3 linked regions of the Daphnia pulex genome follow. The protein of the gene in region 1 binds, or shares a complex with, the protein of each later gene. Links are inferred from orthologs where the notes say so. Each region holds a gene or a part of one and is shown in the gene's direction. Other genes may lie near its edges.

Region 1 (6,349 bases):
AGGAATAATAAAGAGAATTAATAAAACAGATACAAACAGAGAGAGAGAAATAAAAGAACGTGAAAAACAAAAAGGAGTGAAAGCGCGACACACGGTGAAAGGAATGTGCTGTTGGTGGTTGTTGATCGGGTAACCGGATCGAGGGCAGATCGATTTCCTTTTTTTTTCACTTTCTCTCTCACTCTCTCAGTCTTTTCTGACCCTGTCTTGTCTTCGGCTGTGAGCTCGATAAATTATTGATAAATTATGTGTATACGCATACCTTGGTATCCTTTGCATAGTAAAGAGTCCGCCCTTTGAGTTTGAAGTATCGTCTGCGCCATCGCTGGAACGACGACGTCTGCTTCATGAGGAATCCTTCGCGAGTGCAGACCTGTGACAATGAAAAAGATATGAAGACTAGTGGTGGTGGGAACTGGTTGTAGGTCAATGGGCTGACACTCGCAATCAAGTGACAAGCCCCATGTGTGTGCGTGCGTGTATGTTTTAGGAGAGTCTGGGCCGCCGCCCATTCAATCTAAAGAGTTGGACAGGGAAGGACGCAGCTAGCTACCCATTGAAGGGATCCCAAGGAAAAAAAGGGAACAATTACTTTTCATTTGACGAGACGGACAGACACGACCCGACGGCTTTGTTGGCTTAGGTCCAAGGATCGATACCGAGTGGAAATCCCGCGTATGTATATGTACACATAGGCCCGGGAGGGAATAAAAAAAAAAGGGAACGAACGAAAAACTAGGCCAACCGATGGGGGTGTGGAAGAGAGGGCTTTTTTCGTTACTCCCCCGACAAGCCTCCCCCCTTTTCTATGGCTCATCACGCACCCATGCGGAAGCGAACAAAAGCCACGGGCCCAATGCTTCCGTGGCTAAAAGCCAACCTCAAAAACTTTGACGAGGAAGGATGCTGGAAGACTTTTAAAGATGGACAATTTTCTTTTGAAAAGAAAAATATGCTGTTAGTGGGGGGAGTGTGTGTTTTTCTTTCGTGCTGAATCACCGCAGCTGTATACTACTAGGGTACTACTCTGCACGTTGGGTAAAAGGAGATCGATAATTGGATGCCGGATTTGGCGGGAGAGAGAGAGGGGATTTGCCGAAATGCTTTGCACTGTTGCTAAATCACGAGGGAGGGAAACTCCCTATTTTCTTCGCCGCTAAGGCGGTCGACATGATGGGCGTTGGAAATCTCACGCTGCCTAATGAATCGCTTCATGTTATATTACCTGTAACATTGGACGCCCAGAATTCAAAAAGTACAATGCGAATATATAGACAATGGCCATCTTTTATGAGGATTAAGGGATGTCTCACTATTTTAATATTTCCTTTGCTTACACATTTTTTATCTTTCCCCCTACTTGTCGGTACAATAGGGAGCTTCAACAATAGACAGTGCAATATTCTGTGTCTTTGTTCTTCGCATTTCCATCTATTCACTGCGCATCAGTCTGGCTGTGATTAGCTGCTTGGGTGGGCTACAATTCTGTGTTGCCATTGATTGTCGAGACAGCTGAAAGAAAAAGCCTGCTAATTTGCAAAGAAGAATATGCTTATTTACCGATGATTTGATGTTCTTGTTGGTGGAGAATCTGCGGTGGAAGGATTTGGCTGGCTCAGTCTCTCCATCGCTTTCAGAGGAGTCATCACCCACTGCTGAGACAGGCTTCGTGGAGATGGTAGTTTCATTTGCCGCCATAAGACTGAAGAGATGGTGATCAGCTTTCTAGACTCTCCTATGACCAGAGAAATGGGGCAGGGTTGGCCACTTCGCTTCCTTAAGGTTTCGACACCTCGGTGAAATGATGGCGAGAAACCTTCTTGTTTACTCTGCGACAAACAAGCACAACACCCCGTAAAACATAATATCAAACCATCAGGCACCATATGGAACCTTCCACGGGCAAATCTTTCCAAGCTGCGATCAGGAGGCCCAACTCATTTGCCTTTTCTTTCCCCAGTGCTTCTCAATGGGATATTTGTCGAAAACTTTTTTTCAGACTGAAAGTAACAGGCAAGAGAGGGAAAGCAGCCGAATCCCAAAACGCCCTGCAATATGATAATGAAAATTCATTCAGTCTTAATTGGCCGCCGCTAGATGGCACGTAAAATATTGTGAAAACACGATTTTCTTGAATTTATTTTCAAGAAATAATTCAGGGAAATTCCCACTACGTAATTTGATAAGGCAAAAATACGCACATTGTGGTCGGCTTTATATGAAAGTGGCTACTTTTTATTTGCAGTAGAGTAAACAAAGTTTCTGCAACTCTAGTTGGTGGTTGCCAAACCTTTTCGGCTGTTGCAGACGACAATGTTTGAAATGTCAATATTTAAAAATTCTTGTTGCATCAACAACATCACGTGGTTTCTTTTAAATTGTTGCTTCTTGCTTTACCTTCATGATATTCTAAAGTGATGGAATCTGCAATGGAAGAGGTTTCAAGTGAAATGGCTCATGATGGCGAGCCACCAAGTGTGTTACAAGAAGACGTGGTTGAAGGCGTTGTCGAACTGCAGGAAGCTGTGGTTGTTGAGGAGGTTGCACTTCAGGAAACAATTGCCGAACCGGTGTACTATCCTGAGTATCAGTTTGATACGCAGTGGACACTAATTTGTGGAACTAAAAAGGAATTTGAAAATAACAAATCACAAGGATTTTTGAAAGGTTGTAAATGGTCACCTGATGGAACGTGCCTTTTGACATGTGCTGATGACGGCCTTCTGAGGCTGTTTGATCTGCCTGCTGATCTCTACAACAGCCACAAGACAACCTTCCAGGGATGTTCCACGACTGAGCTTTCACCATCTTTGAGGATCAAAGAAGGAGAAATCATCTATGACTACTGCTGGCACCCCCATATGTCTTCATGGAATCCAGAAACATGCCTGCTGGCTAGCTCATCCAAAGGCAGTCCAACTCACCTGTGGGATGCTTACAAAGGAAGTTTGGCAGCCACATACCGAGCTTACAATAAGTAATAAATAAAAACCCTTGTTAATTATTTGAGATTTTTTTAAAATTTGAATTGAAAGCGTCGACGAAGTAGAAGCAGCCAACAGTTTGTGCATCAGTCCAGACGGAGAAAAATTGTATTGCGGTTTTGACAAGTGCGTTCGTGTCTTTGACGTCCAGGTGCCAGGCAGAAATTGCCAAATCCGTCTGACCAAATGTGAGAATAATAATTCAGTTCGGTTAAACGAAAGTTTTTTTGATACATTGTTGTATACGTAATCATGTTCATTTTGTATGTCGACATCGACCAGCTACCGATGGATTGTCAGCAAGCCAATCGGGAATTATATCGTGCATCGCGGTGAACGCGGCCCTTCCCTCGGTTTACGCGGCTGCTAGTTATCTGAAAACGATCGGTAATAATAATAATCATAATAACTGAAGTGATATCCTACGTAATGACGAAACCAAACGACTGGATGCGGTTACATATCATTACACTCACACATATTACACAGGATTGTATTCGGAGCCTGAAGGCACGGCCCTGTGTGTCTTGGAGGGCCATCGAGGAGGCGTAACTCATCTCAAATTCTCTCCCGACGGTATGGTATTGTACAGTGGAGGAAGAAAAGATCCGGAGATACTATGGTACGTATCTACGTATATTATCCAATTCCTAGTTGACTCAATAAAAAATGATAATAAATATAGAAACCCCTACGAGTATAGTAGACGTACGTAAATTTTTACCCCTTTTTTTTGTTTGTTTCTTTGCACAGTTGGGATCTACGCAATCCAGGTCAGGTGCTCTACACTATGAACAGGACGGTTGAGACGAACCAGCGAATCTATTTCGATTTGGATCCCAGCGGGCATTACCTCATCAGTGGTACGGCAAAACTTTCCCCGAATCGGGTCCAAAGAACTCGTTGGATTACGCCATGATGGCGCCGCATCTTCCATGTTTAATCGGCTTTTCCACCAAGAAGCCGGGAGGGCGGGCTTAGAATATGCATACAATAATCATGCCTACTACCTTGCCTTCGCCGCTGCGTTTGTGTGTTTCCAATTTTTCTTTTATTGTAATTTTTTTATTTATTTTTCCCACAACAGGAGACACGAGCGGCTGCGTGACAATTTGGGACACCCAAATGGGAGTGGAAACGAGCGCTAGCGAAAGTCCTTTGTTGTCCATGAAATCGCTGCCGGAAAGGTTTCGTTGCAGAGTGAACGACGACTGTACGAACGGTGTCAGGTGAGAGCTTCGACTAATTTTGAATCGCAAGGCCGTTTGGTCGTGTTCAGTTGTTGATGCAACAACGCCAAAAGAGTTATTACGCAGTCCGCACTTGAGGCCAAGTCAATGACTTTCACTCTTTTTTTTTATTATTATCTTCTCTGCGATCATTAGCTCCCCCATATTCTATTTGATTATTATTTTTGGACTTATTTTTCTAAATTTCTATTCTTTGCATAATTATTCAGCTTTCATCCATGGCTGCCCTTAGTGGCCACTAGTTCCGGCCAGCGGCATCTAACCTGTCGGCTCGACGATTCAGTTCACGACAGTAGCGGCAGCGAGTCGTCCGACTGTGAAATCGATGACGAGCCTTCAGCACGGCACCAATCGAGGGAGAACTCTGTCAAGCTGTGGTGGGCCGGCAACTACAACACCGACCACCAAGAGGCGTAATTACCATACACTGACATTACTGTCAAATTTTCTCTGACAAAATGGTCGCTTCTAATGTGAACATGCAACAGCGGCCGTCATTCATTTTCTTCCTCTAATGTAAAGCCTAAAATTTCAAATAAAAGTCGAGAATGGAACGTGTGTGTGTCGTAGCTTAAGAGAAAACAAAGTGAAAATGAGAGAAAAGAATCCACCAAAATTGAAAACAAAGGACAAAATTCGCACGCTAAGAGCGGCGAATCTGGTGCCGTCGGAGCTTCAGATCAAGAGTGAATCGAGAACTGCTGGTGTGTGTAGGGATAGAAAGCGTTCATTGAGGATTTTGGACGAAGAAGAAAAAAAACCCCGCCACATTCTCGCGGTTTTTTAGTTGGTTAAGGCTTATCGGTTTCCACAGGAATTAAAATTAGAGAATCTTCTTTTGAGCCGATAGAGTGAAACTTCTTTTTTATTTCGCTAATCCACGCCATTTGTCTTTTTTTGGAAGAGAAAAGCCAAACGTCGATCGGGCAATAAAAATGGGATGCCCTGCAAGGGGCAGAAACTAATTAATGATTGGGCAACAACTTGGGTTATTGCATTAAACAGGCACGCACAAAAGTGCTTTTTGTTGGGCACACATAATTTCCTTTTCGAGTTTGGGGGCGAGCACGAACTTCCAACGTCGCAATTAGACCATCTGCCGCTTGTTCTTATTCGGGGCTAGCCGACAAGCAGGACCCTGCGCACAACTGCTGACGTTTTATATATATCTAATGTCTAATGTTGTGTCTGCACAGTACTATGGGCGAATAATGTATTGTTTTCTTATTTCTTTGCTTATTGCACACTCGGCGGGATATGTGTTTTTTCTTCTACTATAAGTCGGGTACGTACACATGTATTACAACTCCATTATCATCAGATATTGAAGATAGAAGTACTTCCCATTTTGGCCCCGACTCGGAAAATTCACTAAACCGGAAAAATAAAAACTAAAAATTCCAAGAAGAAGAAGAAGAAAAAACTTTCTCGCGATTTCAACTCGCACAATAAGGTACGTAGACCACCGCTGTCATAAACAATTTTTTCCCACTTTTTTCTCTCTTGTTTCTTCCTTGCAATGTTCACTTGAGAAGTGACCCAATTACCTTTTTTTCTCGTTCAAATGTTTCTTACCCACATTAACGGCCCTTTAAACAAGGTGAGAGTCTTTTTTTTTTCCTTTTTAGTCCGCCGGAATACGGAATGGTTTTGCCTCCTTTTTTTTTGAAATAAAGCTGATGGACGATATGAGTTCTTGTCAGCTTTCGGTTATTTCGGTTTTGTCTCGGAACAACAAAAAAAAAAGAAGAAAAGAAATACAAGACACGAGGGCTTTCTCTCTTTTTGGGCCTAACTTTCCGTTCCGTTATGTGTTTTAGGTTTGAAAGAAAACCAGACGAAATGAAAGAAAAAGAAGAGTGATGTCTTTTCCATCAATAAGTTCCGTTGCTGATCACGACAATTGCTCAATTCAGAGACAATACCAACCAACCGTGATCTGGCCATCGCTAACGATGGACTCATGTCTAACGAAACGGATCGGCGGATTTTATTGGCGACAATATCCACCAATGGATTCGGTCGCATTTCGTATTTGCTCTGGTCTGACATAATTAGAGTAGTAATCTCTCTTTGCGCCGTCTTTTACACAAGGTTCCCAAACGAGTTTCACCT
Region 2 (6,175 bases), on another chromosome or scaffold:
TGTATTAACCTATTCATAAATTTTACTCTAGTGTACGAGATGAACATCTTTGGCTACTTTAACCCGCCGGAATGTGACAGCGAATTTTGAGAAATGAAGCGCATCTATTCTAGGTGACCATCTTACACCAACAAATATCATCTTCTTGGCAACTCCAGTCATGCAGTATTTATAGGGAATCAATTCATGGTAACCTGGATTCAACAGGGAATGAAGCTGATATACAATCCGCACTATCTAGCTTACAAGCTGTTTCCCGGAGCTTGAACGGGCTCCGCAGCTCTCGGCCGCACATATATGGTCCTTGGTAGAGCTCAAAATTTTTATTCTACTAATCTATACAGATACAACTGCAACGATGTTTACATTCACAATAATATAAAATTATAGTTCATTTATTGTGTGGTTTAAAATTTTGTTTATTATTTTGCGATGGTCCGCCATCGTCCTTTTGTTTGTTTACATTTGATTCGTATTTCGGTGTCTCGACGTGTGCCAATTTGTTGATGTTAAATAAGTAAGGTTGCTTTCCATTTTCCTCTTTTGTTAATTTCAGTATTATATTTCGCAATCTATTTCACCGTGAAACCTTGTTTATCGTAAATCACTACTTACAATTCCGAATCGAAGTATCACCAGCAAAATTTTGACGTTCGTCGAGCGGTGAGCTACAATGGATGTTGATTTTTGATTTCCACTTTTCTCATTTAATATAACCGTTCATCACCCTATTCCACATACATTACGCATGTTTCTCACCTGAAAAATCTAGCGCATTTCTTAATTCTAGGCTGAATGTACTACTCCGTGTTAGTAGCATCTCAAGCTAATAAATCAACCGTCTGTCAAATGTGTGGTTTTGAGGAAAAATCAATTAACAACAAATAGTTTCACCACAAGCTCCCATGCTTTACAGTGTAAAGCTAATAAGTAATCATTACAACATTTGACGCTTAAGTTGGTTCTTCCATAAAAGTATTGAATAAACTCGTATTTAGAGATTATTCAACGAAGAATGTTAGACACATTTGAATCAAACTTTTATAAAGCTAGAAATAACAGTATCGGTAATGAACACCGTGACCAGGTCAACTTTCAACTTATTTATATTCCGCTTGAGATGTAAAATATTGTGTCTTTATCGGACAAAGACATCGGTATTCCGAAAACTGGAATTGTCCCTGGAGATTTGAAGGGAGAAGAGGTAGAGGAAAGAAAGAGAAAAAGATTATGAATTCTCATTTGAATGGCGAGACCACCATTCCGTACTTTAGAGAATCCGTGTGGTTTTTGTATTCAAGTATTGTGTTCGGTGGAAGGTTTAAGACTCGACGAAGTGTATCTCGAATTCGGTTGGTAGTAGCCTGATCACTTGCAATTCGATTCCATACCGAAATAATATCCTCCTAAAATATATATATTTATATAAATTATATGATTTTTAACACAAAAAACATTTTTCTTACAGCAAATCGAATTGAGACGACAGCTCCACATATTTCGTCGCCTACCATAAATTGTTCGCCTAACATAGCTAATATTAAGTTCTCCCAACAACGTGAGGCTAAACCTTTTCGAAGACGCACAATCCATTTACCACCACAACGATTGGCATCATCCTGTTGGGAAAAAAAAGTAGGTTAATAAACACTTCACCACCCTTATTATTATTTAATAATACAACCTCCCACATTGGTTTGATTCCATCTTTAAATAAATGAAAGTCACTGTGACCAGAGAGTTCACAAGGCCTGACCAGATGGCAATAGTATGACCAAAACTGTTCTACAGAAGCAAAACGTCCAACCATTCTTAGATTCTGATCAAAGCTTTGGGGTGCTGCATGTTTTCCAGGAGCTCTCCGACTAAACCACAAACAGTATGTGTATCTAAAAACAAATGGTATTTCTATAATTAACATGTACTAATAAAAGTAATATCATTTTCATGTGTACTGGAGTGGATGTTCTTCTCGAGGAACTTGAATGGGTTGCTGAAAAAAATTAACCTTTAAATTAGTAGGAAAAAATGGGTAAGTGAGCACATAAATTCGTCTATCGCAATTATCACATCATTAACATAGAGTTAATAGATATTACAATAATTTTTTGTGTATTATGCAGTTAATATCTCACCAAAATTAAATCCTTTTTCTTTCTTTCTTCACTGAATGAAGTTTCGTCGTCATCACTGTCTTCGCTGTTGTTCAACCTGTCGAAAAGCAACAAAGTAAACGCAAATTCTATTAAAACATGTATAAAATTTGAAAACTTACGCATCAAATTTATTGTTATTAAGGGCCATTTGTAAATAGTTTACGAAATCGGAGTGTTACAGTCAAATTGTTCACTTAATTTATACACCAATTTGCAGCATGTAGTAGAAAGACTAAAGAAAGAAACAAGCAGTATGTCCAGAAATGTTGTACAAATTTTAGATGGTGAAAACACTAAACAGTACCCACACTATAGAGTAGCGAAAAATTGCCACCAGTTGCCACCAGGTGACCTTCAAGAGGTTTTGGCGCCACACACTAGAGTACCCTTCCCAAAGCCAAAGCGCCACGGCCCACGGGAGAAAGATGTTATAGTTATTGTAACTTCTAATGTAATGGTAATAAAGAGATAATTTGAACCATTGAATTTTAAAATCAAGTAAAATATTGGAAATACATGTCATAGCAGAAAAAGTGACTTCGTGATTAATTTTTTTCCAAAAATAAGAATCAAAAATCAAATGGCAACGCTCAACACTTCCGCTCATTGGTTTCTTTTTTTGTAGCAGAGGTTTTTCAACACATTAGATCAAAGACAGGACTTCGAACCACGTGTGAAGCACGATGCATTCATCTGGTAAGCGCCATCACATAATATAAATTTTACAAGCTAGTTATAGGGATCGATTATGTGTTTTCACATGGAAAAGATGCATTGTAGTTTGCTGCACAAATAGTATGATTCGAAATTTACATTAATTTGGTTAATTCTGTGATCTACGGATTAATGTTGGTAACACGTGTCGGTTAATGTTAGCATTCCTGTGTTTCAGAAGTCCTAGGAGAGAAACAAAGTGGAAAGAAGTCAAGAAAGTCCTTGGGAGATATTCAAGGAGATTCAGACTTTGTGTTGGAGCCATCAGAAAAACCAGTAGCAAAATTGGACTGTTCACAATGGCCGCTGTTACTAAAGGTATGTTGTTAAATATTAAATTAAATGTAGATGTTCTCAAAATAATTTATTTTAGTATCTATCTATACAAGCATTATGCTAAGAATGCTAATGATTAATTTATCGAAAGTAGTGGACTGAAAAGACTGAAGACACTCAAAGATAATGAAGCATTTAAAACTAAATTCTTAAAATTTTTCTAGTTTGAAACTTGATCTTTATAGATATTAATTTTTCCCTTGTTATTTATTAAGAAATGTGAACATTTTCTAAATCATCTTTTTTTTTCAGAATTTTGACAAGTTAAACACAAGGACAAATCATTATACACCTCTTCCAAGTGGTTGTTCACCATTGAAGAGGCCAATTAAAGATTATATTCATGGCGGTTTTATTAATCTTGACAAGCCATCTAACCCAAGCTCTCACGAAGTAGTTGCCTGGATTAAGAGGATTCTAAGATGTGAAAAGACGGGTCATTCAGGAACATTGGACCCTAAAGTTACAGGTATGTTGATAGCACTCAGAAAATCCCATGGACTTTACTAATTGAATATTATACAGGGTGTTTGATTGTTTGCATTGATCGTGCTACAAGGCTGGTCAAATCTCAGCAGGGAGCTGGCAAAGAGTATGTTGCCATATTTAAGCTTCATTCTGCAGTTGAAGATAACAATCAGGTAGTTTCTTGACCCTTCTAGTTGAAAGCCTTATGCTAAAGATGCTAATGATTAATTTATCGAAAGTAGTGGACTGAAATGACTGAAGATAATTAAAGATAATGAAGCATTTAACTGAATTCTGTTAATTTTTTAAGTTAGAAACTTGATCTTTATAAATACTAATTTTGTATATATTTTTTTTATTTATTAAGATTCCTCGAGCTCTTGAGAAGTTGACTGGAGCTTTGTTTCAGCGTCCACCACTGATCTCGGCTGTTAAGCGACAACTTCGTGTGCGAACCATTTACGAGAGTAAATTTTACGAGTACGATGCCGAGAGACAAATGGGTATCTATTGGGTTAGCTGTGAAGCCGGAACTTACGTTCGTACCCACTGTGTCCATCTCGGTTTGGTGCTAGGCGTAGGAGCTCAGATGGCGGAACTCAGAAGAGTTCGTTCTGGTAAGCCAGGAAGTTTCTTTTTGTGTGTGTTCTTAAGATGAAGATTTTATTTTTTATAAGGTATCCAAAGTGAAAAAGAAGGGTTAATGACTATGCACGATGTAATCGATGCGCAGTGGTTACATGATAATCATAAGGACGAAACATATCTGCGGCGGGTTATTCGTCCATTAGAGGCATTGATGATGTCTCACAAGCGAATAATCATGAAAGACAGTGCTGTAAGTGTGTTAATATTTATCTATAATATTCTTTATAATAATGTGTTAAAAAAATATATAACAGGTTAATGCCGTTTGCTATGGAGCTAAAATCATGTTGCCTGGTGTATTGCGGTACGAAAATGGTATCGAACTAAATGAAGAGATTGTTATAGTAACAACCAAAGGAGAAGCAGTGGCTCTCGCCATTGCTTTGATGACGACAACAACCATGGCTTCATGTGACCATGGTATTGTTGCCAAAATTAAACGTGTTGTCATGGAGCGTGACACTTATCCCAGGAAATGGGGACTTGGACCTAAAGTAAAAATTGATATAGTTTACATTGGCGTTACTTGTATGTATATGTATGTATTTGTTTAATTTTAGGCTTCCGTCAAGAAGGGTATGGTGAAACAGGGACTCTTGGATAAGTTTGGCAAACCTAATGACAAGACACCTAAAGATTGGTTGACATCTTATGTAGACCTAAAGTATGTAATTCAACGCAGTATTTGTATCAAATTTTTCAATAATATTATATTTTTCTGTAGCGTTAAAAAAGAAAAGGTTGAACCAACTGAAGATGCTGAGGCACGAAAAAGAAAGTTAAGTGAAACGAGCGCCGTTGCTGATCCGTTGTCAGAATCCATGACGGAAACCAAGGAGAAGAAGAAGAAGAAAAAGGACAAAGACCGGGTAAGTGTTTATACTCTTGTGAAATAATGATGTCTTAATCATTTATGGATGATTTTCAGGAGCCGCAGGGTAATGAAAGCATTCTTGATGCCACCGTAGAATCGGTTCCTGAAACCAAAGAGAAGAAAAAGAAGAAGAAAGATAAAACAGCTGAAAATGAAGACCTTTCAATTGCAGTGGACACATCAACAATCAAGGTAAATTAAACTTGTCAATTAATTTTTTTTTTAAACAAAGGTGTCGTGATTATTTAATGAAAGTAGTGAACGGAATATTTCTGACGAAAATTACCTAAATGAAAACATACTGCAAATATTATTCGCCGAGTAATTTGGTATGCATTAGTAATGTGAACATATTTCTATTTAGGAGGAGTCTGCCAAGAAAAAAAAGAAAAAGAAAGATGTCGATCGGGAAGATGATTAATTATAATTGAAATAATTTGTAATATTATGTTTGCAAGAAAATTCGAAAATACAATTCATTTCATTTTTATGCTGTGTATTAATTTATCAGAAAGTTTCAAGATGTGACAACTTCATTTGCTCCTTCAAAATTTAACCCTTCAACATCAACTTCATTTTCAGAGGCATTTAACATGTTCAATGTCACTTCAGCTGTTGACTTGTTATTAATCATTTGGGGCTGTTGTTGAACAACTACAACTGCTTGCTGAGGACTTGAATTAATATTCTGGAGTGGACTTGGTTGAACAACTGGTTGGCTGATGACTTTGGACAAAGGAATACCTGCTGCCTCAAAAGTTTTTTTCTTCAAACTACCATGAATTTGTGTCCTAATAAATAGAAGCAAATAAAATTTGAAATTTGAACACTGACATATGATTTTTGCAATCAACTTACACTGTCTTGTCTTTAATATGTTCAGAAATCTTTTCAAGATCTTCTCCAAAGCGCTTAATGGAACTTCTCAACATTTCAATTTCATCTTCACTCCATTTTGACCTGTATAAGAAAAAATTAA
Region 3 (4,610 bases), about 3.2 Mb from region 1:
ACAGCGCCAAGTTCCAGTGCTTTCAGCGTATCGTCGACACCAAAGCAGTACTTGCCCGTATCCTGGCTGATTTCATCAAAGTATCGACCTACGTGAGAAGAAACATAACACCACCGTTAGGTTAACACATAAAAGGTAATTTAATCCAAAAAAACAACTAACCAATCAGCTTCTTTTCCTGGATAAACTTCACATTGGCAAGACTCTCTGCTGCAAGCTCGATTGCCTGGTTGAAGCCGTTTTCACCACCGTAAGAGATGTCGACCATCTTGATAATTTTGACTTGCAATCTCTATCAAAAGAAAGAAACCAGTTACAACTAGCGGGAATGAGAAAGGTAATACCAATCATGGAACTGAAATACGAGATTCTAGTCAGAGACCAAAGTCCAGATGATTTCGGTTTGTGAAATGTAATAACTGCTTGCTTACCGGATCGAACATATCCGATTGAGAGAGCTCCGTCTTGAAGTCAGCACTTCCTGCTAAGATGAGGCCTGCAGCCGTCACCTTATCGTTGGATATGAACATTTGAGTGGCTACCTCGGCCACTTTACGGACGTAATTGTGTCGCTTTTCCATACGTAAACGGGCGAAACGCAAGGCAGACTGACCACCACGTCCTACATAAACAGCGTCACATGAAATTATAGAATTCACAAAATAGCACCAATAATTAGAAATGATGCTTACCGTGCTTTTTGGGTAATTCGACAGTAAATTTATGTAAAACTTCTCTCGTGTTTCCTTGGAGTGTTCCAAACAACGCCCCGTTACCATCCATAATAATGAAACCAAATTTGTTATCGTCAGCTAACAATGCTGTCAAGGCTTCTGTATGGAACTGAATTCACTCATGATTTATCTTTGAAAACCTTAAAAATAACAAAAAAAAACCATACCTTGTTGTCACACAAATACAGTGATGTATTGATGGGCTTGAAAGGCTCAAAATCAATGTTCACTTTCTTCTCTTTACCCTCTTCTGTGACAATTGTTCCACAATATATGACCAAACCATTAGGGGGTACTGGCAAATCAAAGAAAATTATTAAGGTTAATCAAGAAACAAGCATAAATAACAACACATACCTTTGGCATACAGTTTTAATCTCTGTTGGACAGATGTGATGGCACCCAGGACAGAGAGCCTGTTTACTCGAGATTTAATATTGGAGGCAGTACCGAATTCATCAGCCAACATTTTGCTGATCCGAGCAATCTGATCTTTAGGAGGGATGATGAGCGAAATCATGCTTGTACCATTTCTAAAGAAGAAAGTGTTTCATTAAACTTTATTCACTTGTTGAGCAGTTGTTAAGCAACAGCTTGACATGCCCTGTCAATTACTGCCATAATTCTGAGACATGTTATCTCATGAGGCAAATTACCCTCTTGCAAGTTCCAAGCTTTTGATGAGTTTTTTGATCTTCCAGATCTCAACATTCCTATCTGCAGAGTTCTCCTCCATGACACTGGTTTAGGGGCTATAGGAAAGCAGCAAATAGATGAAACCTGAGTAAACCAATTACAGTTTAAATGAAAAGGTATAGTTTGTTAAAGTGGTCTTTATAGACGGTCGGCATGACAGAAAAATAGGAATTTGTCTATGACAGACGTGGTCACATCGAAAAACATGGCGACGACAGCTTTCTCTCAATATGAAATTCTTCATTTGCTCTTAAACAAGAAAGACAAATAGATAATTACCTCACTATAAAAAACAAGTGGGAATCTTTGTCGTGGACGAAAAAAAGGGTTTATAAAAATTACACGAGTTGCTCACGTAAAACACTTTCTCAGAACACCGCTTCACACCAGCACATGGGTCGTGGATTCCGTGATTTCGATATCGAAATAATTACAAGTAGGCTACGAAATCGATTTGATATTGGTCCACCAATTTGTCAAAATTTACCCAATTTTAAGTTTCCTATAAATTATTTGTCAATAAGAAACTATGAAAAGTATTATTATCGGCAGCATTTTTTAGTTTTTTATTATAAATGTCAAGGTTTCAGTTTACAAGTTGATGCTACGAGCTATTGGCAACGTCTAAATCCAGACGACGCGAAAGTCAAGAGCTAGGCAAAAAAATCGACGAGCTTGAAAACCACACGTGCTCATACTACCGTAGCTACTGCATTTAAGTTAACAGTTTAAATTTAAAACAAAAAGAAAAATGGCCAAGAAATCAAAGCAGGTTATCAAGGAAGAAGAAACCGATGCCATGGAAACATCACAGGTCGAGGGAAAATCAGACAAGAGTAGCTATGATGAGTTGATGAATCATGTCAGCATCATTGCTAAACCAATGGCTAGCAGGAAGCTCACTAAACGGATCTATAAACTTCTTAAGAAAGGTTAGTTAATTTTTTGGTTATATTTTCATTCAGTAAGTTCAAATATGTTTCTTGCTTCTAGCTGCCCCACACAAGGGATATGTGAGAAACGGCCTCAAGGATGTACAGAGAAGAATTCGACTAGGTGAAAAAGGGTAAATACAAAAAACAAAATCTTGTGATATTCTTAATGTGTTAACAAATTATTTTTCTTTTTTCAGGTTGGTCATTTTTGCTGGTGATGTTACTCCTGTAGATATTATGTGCCACATGCCTGCAGTGTGTGAAGAAAAGAATATTCCTTACATCTACACTCCATCAAGACTTGAACTTGGTCATTCTCTGGGACTGAAGCGAACATCTTTGATGGTGCTTATCAAAGAACATCCTGACTATCAAACTTCTTTTGATGAACTTGCTGCTGAACTTAAAACCATCCCTCCTCAATGTTAATGAATTCCTCTTTCATCCAAGCTCCTTCATCAGTCATACTAATTTGACATTGAAAATGATTACACTTTTTCAGAATTTGGATGCTTTTTTTTCAGAATTCACATTTTTACTCCATACATCACTGTCGACTCATTTCCTCATCTTGGTTACACAGAAAGTAAAGCAAAAAAAAAGTGACTTGGGTGGATGTGATACAAAATTAGCCTTGTTGCAAGCAAAAAACAACAAAAAGGTGGAGCATACGAAAGTGGGTTCAATACTTTCATGCAACACTGATACGCCTGTGAAACATTCCATGATGATAACTTGGTGTGGACTCTTCACTAATTGATGAAAAAGATAATAAACGAACGTCATCCGCGAAGGAACAAGAAGTTCGATTGAATGAGGTTTGCTAAGTCATCATGTCGTTGTTGGATATCAATGGGTTATTCACTGGTCCTTTCAACGATTCGTTAACATCTCGCCGGAAGAGTGATAGGTTTTGCGTAAATCTGAAATTTGTTGAATGAAGAAATATAGAATAATAACTTTTAAAAGGAAACAAAATTTACAAGTTTACCTGTCTCGGTTTTTGGCGGTGACATTCCTCTCGATTCCGTCCATCAAGTTGTCGAACCACTGAGCCATAAGGCTCTGCTTGTCGACTGGCTGACTGCGAATGATGGATTGACGCAATTGGCCAAAATAGTCTTCGTTCAACAAAATGAGGCCAAGCAAAGGACGGGACATGGAATACTGATTTCGGCATTCTTCAAACATAACGATGTTCAAGATACAACTCAGCATCTGTTGCAGTAGTTCTGGTCGGATTTCCATCAAACGAATGAGTTGCGCACCCTGCTGCTGTTCTACAACCTTTCGAGCCTTTTTGCCTTTAGCCGTCAACTGGCGAAAGACGTAGGTTACGATATGATCTAGCGTATTGCAGCAGCCCGTGCAGATCATGGTATCTATTGGTGGAATTTTCTCGTTACATTGAGTTCGATTACCATTCATTAAAATATTTACTGTTCAAATATACCTAGTGCAGTGAGGCCTTCTTGGACAGTCGAGAGAATGTATAGGAAAACATGCGGCTCTAACGAGCTGAGAAACACCATGTGATCTTGAGCAAGACACTCCAACAACACATAGTAGGTCTGACTCAACTTTGGATAAGCCTATTTACAGAAGTAATATTTAGATACTGTAATGTTAAACCAATAGGGACTTTACTTACTAAGAGATCACTTTGTGGTATAGACATGAGCATTTTGACGAAAGTGCCAAGAGCGTCGTCTAGGGCAGTATCGCCATAGAGACGGAAGACTCCGAAGTTAACATATCCGCCACACAAAGCTGCCTGTAATGCAGGTTTACATACGTTAGAAAAAAAAAGTTTCTTTTGAGAGACAGAATAAATTATTGTTCACCTTAAGCAGAGAAAAACACACTGAGATGCCTTTAAATTTTGCAGCGTAAATTTGTTCTTTGGGCACTTCAACACTCAAAATTCGACCACCTAAATGAAGGAATGAAACCGCAATTAATTTAGCTCGATCATAATCCCCCCCCCCCAAAAAAAAAAAAAATGTTATACCGTATGAGCAGAGAACTTTTGAGGCCTCACGGAATAGTAGGACACCGTTCGGGGAAGTGGAATCAAATTGCAACCGTTGACTCCGATTTTGCACCAACTCGGCAAAAAGCTTCAGCAATGGACTTGTCACCTGTTCGGATTTGCAAAATTTACAGAATTAGATAATGAATCAAAAAGCAACTTTGCAATTTTCTACCTGTGGCTGATGGTACCACAGCTGCAATGCTCTGAGAT

The links.
Region 2: telomerase Cajal body protein 1-like (region 1) and H/ACA ribonucleoprotein complex subunit 4-like share a complex: the UniProt entries of both Homo sapiens proteins name them as parts of the telomerase holoenzyme complex. The link is inferred for Daphnia pulex from reciprocal best matches to the Homo sapiens genes WRAP53 and DKC1.
Region 3: telomerase Cajal body protein 1-like (region 1) and H/ACA ribonucleoprotein complex subunit 2-like protein share a complex: the UniProt entries of both Homo sapiens proteins name them as parts of the telomerase holoenzyme complex. The link is inferred for Daphnia pulex from reciprocal best matches to the Homo sapiens genes WRAP53 and NHP2.

The regions. Positions count from the first base shown.
Region 1 is NC_060026.1:14,514,260-14,520,608, forward strand, and holds telomerase Cajal body protein 1-like, read left to right. Parts: upstream 1-2,417; coding exon 2,418-2,977; intron 2,978-3,035; coding exon 3,036-3,172; intron 3,173-3,218; exon of another isoform or gene 3,219-3,266; coding exon 3,267-3,371; intron 3,372-3,473; coding exon 3,474-3,606; intron 3,607-3,737; coding exon 3,738-3,847; intron 3,848-4,071; coding exon 4,072-4,213; intron 4,214-4,443; coding exon 4,444-4,651; 3' UTR 4,652-4,788; downstream 4,789-6,349. Other genes in the region: diacylglycerol kinase delta-like, read right to left, coding at 263-373, 1,561-1,698. UniProt on the Homo sapiens protein: RNA chaperone that plays a key role in telomere maintenance and RNA localization to Cajal bodies. Specifically recognizes and binds the Cajal body box (CAB box) present in both small Cajal body RNAs (scaRNAs) and telomerase RNA template component (TERC).
Region 2 is NC_060025.1:6,908,278-6,914,452, reverse strand, and holds H/ACA ribonucleoprotein complex subunit 4-like, read left to right. Parts: upstream 1-2,763; 5' UTR 2,764-2,839; coding exon 2,840-2,852; intron 2,853-3,048; coding exon 3,049-3,188; intron 3,189-3,458; coding exon 3,459-3,675; intron 3,676-3,731; coding exon 3,732-3,847; intron 3,848-4,041; coding exon 4,042-4,291; intron 4,292-4,351; coding exon 4,352-4,512; intron 4,513-4,576; coding exon 4,577-4,816; intron 4,817-4,882; coding exon 4,883-4,986; intron 4,987-5,046; coding exon 5,047-5,191; intron 5,192-5,250; coding exon 5,251-5,388; intron 5,389-5,454; coding exon of another isoform or gene 5,455-5,457; exon of another isoform or gene 5,458-5,560; coding exon 5,561-5,617; 3' UTR 5,618-5,686; downstream 5,687-6,175. Other genes in the region: probable sodium/potassium/calcium exchanger CG1090, read left to right, coding at 32-90; eukaryotic translation initiation factor 4E type 2-like, read right to left, coding at 1,139-1,181, 1,270-1,406, 1,467-1,619, 1,685-1,889, 1,956-2,008, 2,136-2,211, 2,276-2,304; chromatin complexes subunit BAP18-like, read right to left, coding at 5,714-5,987, 6,055-6,156.
Region 3 is NC_060026.1:11,295,103-11,299,712, forward strand, and holds H/ACA ribonucleoprotein complex subunit 2-like protein, read left to right. Parts: upstream 1-2,048; 5' UTR 2,049-2,181; coding exon 2,182-2,362; intron 2,363-2,423; coding exon 2,424-2,496; intron 2,497-2,562; coding exon 2,563-2,794; 3' UTR 2,795-2,873; downstream 2,874-4,610. Other genes in the region: eukaryotic peptide chain release factor subunit 1, read right to left, coding at 1-88, 163-292, 432-622, 693-843, 902-1,029, 1,092-1,267, 1,391-1,470; exportin-7-like, read right to left, coding at 3,189-3,288, 3,357-3,747, 3,819-3,957, 4,017-4,139, 4,210-4,298, 4,377-4,506, 4,573-4,610. UniProt on the Homo sapiens protein: Required for ribosome biogenesis and telomere maintenance. Part of the H/ACA small nucleolar ribonucleoprotein (H/ACA snoRNP) complex, which catalyzes pseudouridylation of rRNA.